2 linked regions of the Neurospora crassa OR74A genome follow. The protein of the gene in region 1 purifies or fractionates together with the protein of each later gene. This does not show direct contact. Links are inferred from orthologs where the notes say so. Each region holds a gene or a part of one and is shown on either strand. Other genes may lie near its edges.

Region 1 (3,937 bases):
TCAAATAGGTTTTATATACCCATCAACCGGAGGGGCACTTAGTTAGGTATGGAAATAGGGAAGGGAAAAACAAATGGAGACACACAAAAAAAAAGGGTTCTTGATCATACTACTTGTATGCGGACGGTTTCATGGTCTCGGATCTTATCTTCGTTTTCATTGCTGGTTATGGTTCGTGATGGGAATGCTTCGTTCACTCTTCAAGGGACAGGACTATAGAGTACATAAAGAATAGAGTGATTCGTAAGCTGTGAAAACACCACACCTCTGTAGTTATCCTTGATCTAGATCTCCGCGAAGCATTTTTTTCAGTGTCATCACCCCATTCACTCTTGATGCTTCCTTACTAAAACTCGTCGAAACCTGTCGCGCAGTGGATAGATCAGACACACAAAGCCCACCCGTATATTGCATGTGAACGTTGATCAGCAGTGTTGAGCATTTTGAGCTCCCTAAGGTATAATGTCATCATAAAGTCTCCAATGCATCCTAAGCAAGCCCAAACCATCCAGCCGTCGCCCACATTTCAAATGCAAAGGCAGCTGCTAACGAAAATCCACCCTGCCAACGACTTTTAACGCCCAGTTACGAAAAACCCAAAAATATCTCATTCCAGCCTACAGTCTCACCCCTATTTATTGTTGGGGCATGTCGTCATCTTCCTCCGGTCCTTGATCGAAAAGGAAGTTGGCGGCAAGCTCCTCGTCCTTGTCGCAAGCGAAGTAGGCCTGGATGGCCTGGTCCTGGGGAAAGCCCAGGCGGGTGAGACGCTCAATGGCATCGCGTTCCTCTTCTGTGACAGCAATACCGACAGAGCCACCCTCACCACCCTCGCCAAGGAGGTTCAGGAACTGATCCGAGTTCTGGGCGATCATCTGGGCAAGCTGAGGGTTGCCGGCACCGAGCTGTTGCAAGATAGGCTCCAGCATCTGGGGCTGCTCCTGTACAAGCTGACGCATTTGCTGGAATTGCGCGTTGTTGCGGAGGAAGTCGAGGTTACCAAGACCAGCGGCCTCGGCACCAGCACCCTCCGCACCACGAGCACCACGTCCGCCAGCGCTGTTGCCGAGCTGAGCGGCAAGGTCGAAAAGGTTGACTTGATCGTCATCATCACCACCGGCAGCAGCGGGGGAAGCCGCCTGAGCGGCAGCAGCAGGGGCAGCAGCCGGAGCGGCAGAAGGCTGGCGAGAGGCAGTTTGTTGCTGGAGGTTGGCGGGAATACCCTAAAGCTGTGTCAGTAAACCAGACATAGATCGGAAAGTGGAATGAGTTGTGAAACGTACGTTCAAGAGATACTCCACAGCGCGCTCGGGGTTGAAAAAGGCGGCACGCATAGCAGCGTCAATCTGCGAACGCTCGAAACCCATAGCCTCCATGTTGGCAATGGCCTCGGCGCGCTGCTCGCCCATGGCAAGGGCGTTGGCATCGCGAGCACCGGCAGCTGGGGCCGCCTCAGGAGCCGCAGCGGTTCTAGCGGGCGTCGGCGTCGAAGGGGCAGCGGCAGCAGCGCTGGAGGCCGCGGGAGCGGCAGGGGGAGCAGGTGTTGAGGCCGGGGCGGCGGCAGCGGGGGTAGCGGGGGCAGCGGCAGACGACGACGACTCGGCTGGCTTGGGGGCAGTGGTCTTGGGCTGCGCAAAGTGTCAGCTTCATCTTTGTACAAGGACGTGAGTAATAACGGGGGAAATAGTACCTTGTTCACGACGCAGACAACGAAGCCCTTCTCCTCGATCTTGTACGACTCGACGGTCTCCTCATCCTTCAAGATCTTACCTGTTGGGGTAAAGTCAGTATTCGGGAGCGGTATCCATCGTTTGAGAAGCAAGCGATGCTTACCGGAGTAGATAAGCTTCTGCAGCTCGGGAGCCCAGCCCCTCTCCTCGGAGATCTTCTGCTTGACCTTGGAAATCTGCAACCGGTTAGCTTCTAGCTCGCCAGCATCATGCACGTCTCCCGAAGCGACATGGGAGGCTCGCGACGCCGACAGAGCATTCGATTGTCGAGGGCTGTCACGGCGTGTTGGATGTCTCCATGACGTCGGCCTGAGGTAAAGGGTGTAAGGAAATGGGAGGCGACGAAGGGTAACCAACAGTCTCGGTAGGCTCGATCTCGAGCGTAAACTTTTGTTGTTTGAGGTCCTAGATGAACGAACAGTCATTGTTAGTATTTGACTATATAGACTTTGAGAGCTTATGGACAGAGGGAGCGAGCTCTGATCCAACCAGGCAGACAGGATTCAAAGAAGACGCTGGGTTGTTTCCGAATTTGCTGAGAAGCCATCGCGGTACGTCTGGCTCGTTGTCTGCCTGGCTGGCTGGCTGGCTGGCTACGTCAAACACTCGACATGGGCAAGCTTATGGGCACGTACCTTGAAAGTAACCTTCATGATGGGCAATCTGCGACGCAGCTAAACGGCTGCTACGTTGACACTGAGAGTCTGATGATGTAAGTAAAGTCTGTCCGGACGGGCGAGCTTCGTTGGGTTCCGAGTCGCGATGGGAGACAGCAAGATTTGTTGCAGTCGGCGGAGTTGGGCGAGGACGAGGAAAAAAAGTGGAAGTGGTTAGTTGGTTGCTGTGGTAAGGTTGATGTGTGTGGGAAGGCTGCCGCAGAGATGGCGAGGTGGCATACAGGGGAGGAGATAGTTGTAATCGCTGTGGCAAGAAATATGGAAGGTAGCAGGGAAGCTTGAACGTTTTACAGCGGCTTGTGATGACTGATGAGGCAGCTTTGAGGCGGAGAATTTGGGGTTTGTTCGCTTCACCTGAGTGCACTGAATGGAAGAGGGGCACAGCAGGCGGGTAGCCAGGTTCACGGTGTGCTACCTACGGCAGTGAATGGCTGGGGGGAAGCGGCAGGCAAAGTGCAGTGGACAGGCACAAGGCAGCGGCCATTGTTAGGCGGGGGGGGCTGCGCGGCATCTTGCCGCCTGGAGCTGGTGGAGAGGTCACAGTCGTCACGCTGCCATCCCGTCCGTCTGTACACACAACACAGACTGATTGATCCCATGGATCCATTCACTTTCCAGGTTGTGTTGGCCTTGTTGCGTTGAAAAACATGAATTGGTTTTCTTTGTTAGTCTTGCTTTTGAATGTCACTGAACTGATAACCACATGCTTCCGTTGGCGATGGAAGTTGATGCAAAATCAAAGGGGAATGTTTGATGTCATGCTGTGAGCCAATCCAAAGGACCCATCTTCTTTCATCTCTTTTTATTCTATTTGAATTTTTTTTGCGATGAAGAAGATGAAGTCATCGCTGATTATGGCAGTGTCACGGCAATACTAGGTAATAGATCTCCACTCATAAGCGCGTATAAAATGGGGCTGAAGAACACCTTCCATCTGTACCAATCATACGCATTGGTAGGCTCCCTTGGAAAGAGCACCAGATAAGATAAGGCCTCCGTCACGTTCGTGACCCGACGTGGATCGTGACATTGAATTGACTACGAGTAACCTTCCCTTCGGTTATCATCGCAAAAACGACGGAACGGTAGCATTGGGGTTACTTTTCAAGGCAGCAAACATGATTTGAGCCAGACATCGTTTTATTCTGGTTTCTCTCATCACCATTCCCAAGCTTCCAAGCTACCTACATCTCCATCGCAGTCATGGTCGGACGTCTAAGCATCATAGCTTAGATGGAAAATCACAGCTCAATGTCACCGCGCATATTTCGTGGGCACGATCTTTTGTTCTGACTTCTTCGGTTCTCATCCGCTACATCTTTCAGTCGTCCGTCTCGCGCATAGCGCAGAGAAGCATCTATCTGAATCCATCCATCATCTAGCCATCCTTCTATCCAACCATAGCCGAGCTTTTCTATACACAAATCCCACCTATCCAAGACCCATCTTTAGGTATGGAACTCAAGTCCAACGCCTCGCAATCAAAGGTATCATATTCACGTCCTCAAAACAAAATCCTCCTCCCCTCCC
Region 2 (4,087 bases), on another chromosome or scaffold:
GAGCTCTCCAAACTCCACCTACTTCCTAACATCCATCATAAAACAAGGGGACAAAAACGAGAGAAACGTACAGTGACACTGCTGACGTTGGGGTGCCAGATCTTGGTAATAAGATACATCGAGGGCGGCTTGAACGGGTACTTATCCGGAATCTGAATGTCGACCTCGTATGTACCCCCAGCATAGGGCGAGTCTGGAGGGCCGCTGAAGGAGCCCTTGAGGTGCGACAGATTGCTCGAGTCGAGAGGTTCGGCCATGACGCCCGAGGTCTCGCGGTCATTCCATATATCCTGCAATTCCTTCGCAACGCGGCGCTCACGAGTAGTCGCCATGGTCAAGTGATGGGGTGTTGGTGCAGAGGAAGGGAAGTGTATTGCGCCCAAATGGGAATGGGAGTGGGTACAGTATATGGTTTGCTGTTGGACGCAAATAAGATGGTAGGAAGTGGTGTTCAGCGAAATAAGTGAAGTATAACAACGGAGTACTGATAAGATTAACCTTGTGGAGGGGTCAAGGAGGCCCGTGAAATGATGTTGCAAGGTGAGACGGGAGGGTTTCTTCAGTGATGGAGGAGCTGGCAGTGGAACGAACGACAGGACGTTTTAGGTTTTCTTCCGCAACTGATCGAGGATTGGCGAACCGGGCCTGCTTAGGTACCGTAGGTTATTTGTGAATGCAAGGCTGAAAGAGCATTCGCTGACAAGGTGAGATGGTCGTCGTCACTTCCTGTCGAGGGAAAGGAAAGCAAAAAGGCAACTTCAAGAGTCAGGTGGGGAGCAGCGTCCGTAGAGGTACCCAAGAGTGCCAAGAGTCAAATGCTCACATAACCTAATTGGCGAGCGTGGTGTTCTTCCTAGTGTTTTGATCGCCTCAGCCACACCTTGCTTTATTTTTTAGTATAGTACGGGCAAGGTTGAGGACGAATGACCACTGTCGCCCTCCAATGTACACAAAGTTGCGACGGGATAGGATGGAAGCAGGAGGCTCTGGCTGGACTCGTCCCTGGGATGGTCCCCTCCCTTGCCAATGTCGTGGCCATGCGCTGTATGTATGGGAAAACAGTCCGTCATACGGTACAAGTACAAACTTAAAGCTGTGCAGCTTGTCCAGGTATGGTCAGTAGACAGATCGAATGCAAACGCACAGCAAGTGCTAGGAGCGCTCAAACGACATGCAAGGTGCTATTGCCCCCGGCAGCTTAGTAGTCTTGATGGTCTGTGCGTCAGGTGTACGACTGGACGACAGACGGATGAGGTGTGTCGCGTTCACTGGGGGCCTGAACTGGAGCTCGCCATCCCGTCGCAACTGAACCTCAAACGGGCATCCGCCAACAACGAACACCAGCACAACTTAATCGTTTCCATCACTGCCGCTGAGATCAACGAGTTCAGATCGTGCGGCACTTTTGCGACCCCATCATATAATTCTCAGCACCCCTTTGAGTCTTCCACCACACTTTCAAGAATCGCGAAAGGCGGACCGTCAACATGGTCAGTTGCCGCAATACGGAGCTGAGCTCAAGCTTGCAACGCATCGCATACTGACAAGCTGCGCAGGGTCAAAATCAGTCTGGCATGGGCGGAGGCCAGGACCCTTCAAAGTCCAAGAAAGATAAGGTAGGATGGCTTCAGTTGCGTCAAGGTTTCTGTTGTGCGCGGCATGCTTGCTGTCCTGTGAGACTCAGGCGCTGACATCATGGACATCGCTAACCACCATCGCCACCAAAACAGAAAGATAAGCCCAAGTACGAGCCGCCGCCGAAGCCTACCACCCGCATCGGTCGCAAGAAGAAGAGACAAGGCGGTGCCAGCGCTGCCGCCAAGCTCCCCTCAGTGTATCCGACAAGCCGATGCAAACTCCGACTCCTACGAATGCAACGAATCCACGATCATCTACTGCTCGAGGAAGAATATGTCGAAAATCAAGAACGTCTACGCAAGGCGAAGACCGCCAAGGACAGCAATGCTCCTGCGTCCGAGCTCGAGTCTTCCGACCGTATGGCTGACGAGCGCTCCCGTGTCGATGATATGCGTGGCAGCCCCATGGGTGTCGGTGTTCTCGAGGAGTTGATCGACGACGACCACGCCATCGTTTCCAGCACATCGGGGCCCGAGTACTACGTTAGCATCATGAGCTTTGTCGACAAAGACCTTCTGGAGCCCGGCGCCAGCGTCCTGCTACATCACAAGAGTGTCAGCATTGTTGGCGTGCTCACCGACGACACGGATCCGGCCGTCAGCGTCATGAAGCTTGACAAGGCGCCCACGGAGTCGTACGCGGATATTGGTGGCTTGGAACAGCAGATCCAGGAAGTTCGTGAATCAGTTGAGCTTCCATTGCTGCATCCGGAGCTCTACGAAGAAATGGGTATCAAGCCACCCAAGGGTGTCATTCTTTACGGTGCTCCCGGTACCGGTAAGACCCTCCTTGCCAAGGCTGTGGCAAACCAAACTTCGGCAACGTTCTTGCGCATCGTTGGTAGCGAGCTTATCCAAAAGTATCTTGGTGATGGTCCTCGACTGGTCCGCCAGCTTTTCCAGGTATGTAAAAGTGTTTCAAGCTACACTGTCAAATATATACTCTAACATGTTCCTCAGGTTGCCGCCGAGAATGCCCCTTCCATCGTGTTCATCGACGAAATCGATGCCATCGGTACCAAGCGTTACGACTCGACATCGGGCGGCGAACGTGAAATCCAGAGAACCATGTTGGAGCTGCTGAACCAGCTGGATGGTTTCGACGACCGTGGAGACGTCAAGGTCATCATGGCCACCAACAAGATCGAGTCGCTTGACCCTGCTTTAATCCGTCCTGGCCGTATCGACCGCAAGATTCTCTTCGAGAATCCCGACCAGAACACCAAGCGCAAGATCTTCACGCTCCACACCAGCAAGATGTCACTTAACGAGGATGTTGACCTGGAAGAGTTCATCGCCCAGAAGGACGATCTCTCAGGTGCCGACATCAAGGCCATCTGCTCTGAGGCCGGTCTCATGGCCCTCCGTGAGCGCAGAATGCGGGTGCAGATGGCAGACTTCAGAGCTGCTCGTGAAAGAGTTCTGCGCACCAAGCAGGAAGGCGAGCCCGAGGGCTTGTACTTGTAACATAACCGCATATTATCTGGCCTAATTTGCAAGACTTTTCAGATTTGGGCGGATTGCGACTGGGAATGGATTTGACAATTCAGCCTTGTGATGTCGATATCCAGCCATCACTAAGCGTACCTTAGTTTGAGTGAAGATGAAGGGATACCGTAGCGTTTTATCATGGAGAAAGAAGAAACTTTACGGTTGGCTCCTGTAAGGGTATGTTTTCCACGCCTTAAATTGTTGGTTCGTTGATACATTCATTGTGAAGTCCAGCTTCATGTCAGTTGTATCTACGCAAAACGTGAAGCCCACCACTGCCTCTCATCCTACTCATGTAAGCTTGACGCTGCACCTCCTACGTATGCTATCTCTCCCATTGTCACCAGGCGGCATCTAATCTATCCTTCTGCGTGTATCCTTCTCTCTATCTCTATACATTTAACCACCCTTTACTCTCCTGCTTGAACCATCATGGTCCCCATCACATATTCTCCTCCCCTGCTGATCAGCCGCACTCAAAGCCTCCACCAAGCCCATTACCCCCTCCGACCAAACCTTTTTACCATCCTTCGTATCTCGCCCTCGTTCCGGCCAAGGCACACCCCCTTTCGGAATCTCCTTCACCGTGATCCCCTTCCTCCCATAAAACTCCTCATTCGCACCCCCCTCGACACCACCACCACCGTCCCATCCATCGACTCCCCTGCATACAGCCCCCCTTGCTCCTGATATAACCGTACACCAACGGTTTACTATCACCATCATCCTTCTGTTTCTCTTCCCCTTGGTCTGAAATGGAAGAAGAGCGACCAGAACCACCAAGCACACCCTCTACCCCCGCCCCAGTTCCATCGGCCCAGCAACGATCCCTACGTTCCCACTGCGACTTACACGGGGGCGCTCAGCGAAAGCGCGCACACGGCCGAGGGGGTGCGTGAAACGCAGACGCAGTCCTAGATGTGGATGCCAGCGAGGAAGCCGGAGCCTAGGGAGTGGAT

What was found. Proteins that work in one complex are often made in the same cells at the same time.
Region 2: the proteins of rad23 (region 1) and rpt-2 purify together in Saccharomyces cerevisiae (affinity purification with mass spectrometry, with the first as the bait; 3 studies listed by BioGRID). This does not show direct contact. The link is inferred for Neurospora crassa OR74A from reciprocal best matches to the Saccharomyces cerevisiae genes RAD23 and RPT2.

What each region holds. Positions count from the first base shown.
Region 1 is NC_026503.1:4,431,838-4,435,774, forward strand, and holds rad23 (rad23-like protein), read right to left. Parts: upstream 2,807-3,937; 5' UTR 2,384-2,806; coding exon 2,366-2,383; intron 2,136-2,365; coding exon 2,088-2,135; intron 1,907-2,087; coding exon 1,834-1,906; intron 1,771-1,833; coding exon 1,691-1,770; intron 1,629-1,690; coding exon 1,284-1,628; intron 1,224-1,283; coding exon 636-1,223; 3' UTR 136-635; downstream 1-135. UniProt on the Saccharomyces cerevisiae protein: Plays a central role both in proteasomal degradation of misfolded proteins and DNA repair.
Region 2 is NC_026505.1:3,289,348-3,293,434, reverse strand, and holds rpt-2 (26S protease regulatory subunit 4), read left to right. Parts: upstream 1-1,278; 5' UTR 1,279-1,487; coding exon 1,488-1,490; intron 1,491-1,556; coding exon 1,557-1,616; intron 1,617-1,730; coding exon 1,731-2,540; intron 2,541-2,597; coding exon 2,598-3,104; 3' UTR 3,105-3,527; downstream 3,528-4,087. Other genes in the region: NCU01225 (ubiquitin conjugating enzyme), read right to left, coding at 72-332; NCU01223 (hypothetical protein), read right to left, coding at 3,528-3,878, 3,981-4,087. UniProt on the Saccharomyces cerevisiae protein: The 26S proteasome is involved in the ATP-dependent degradation of ubiquitinated proteins. The regulatory (or ATPase) complex confers ATP dependency and substrate specificity to the 26S complex. Has ATPase activity.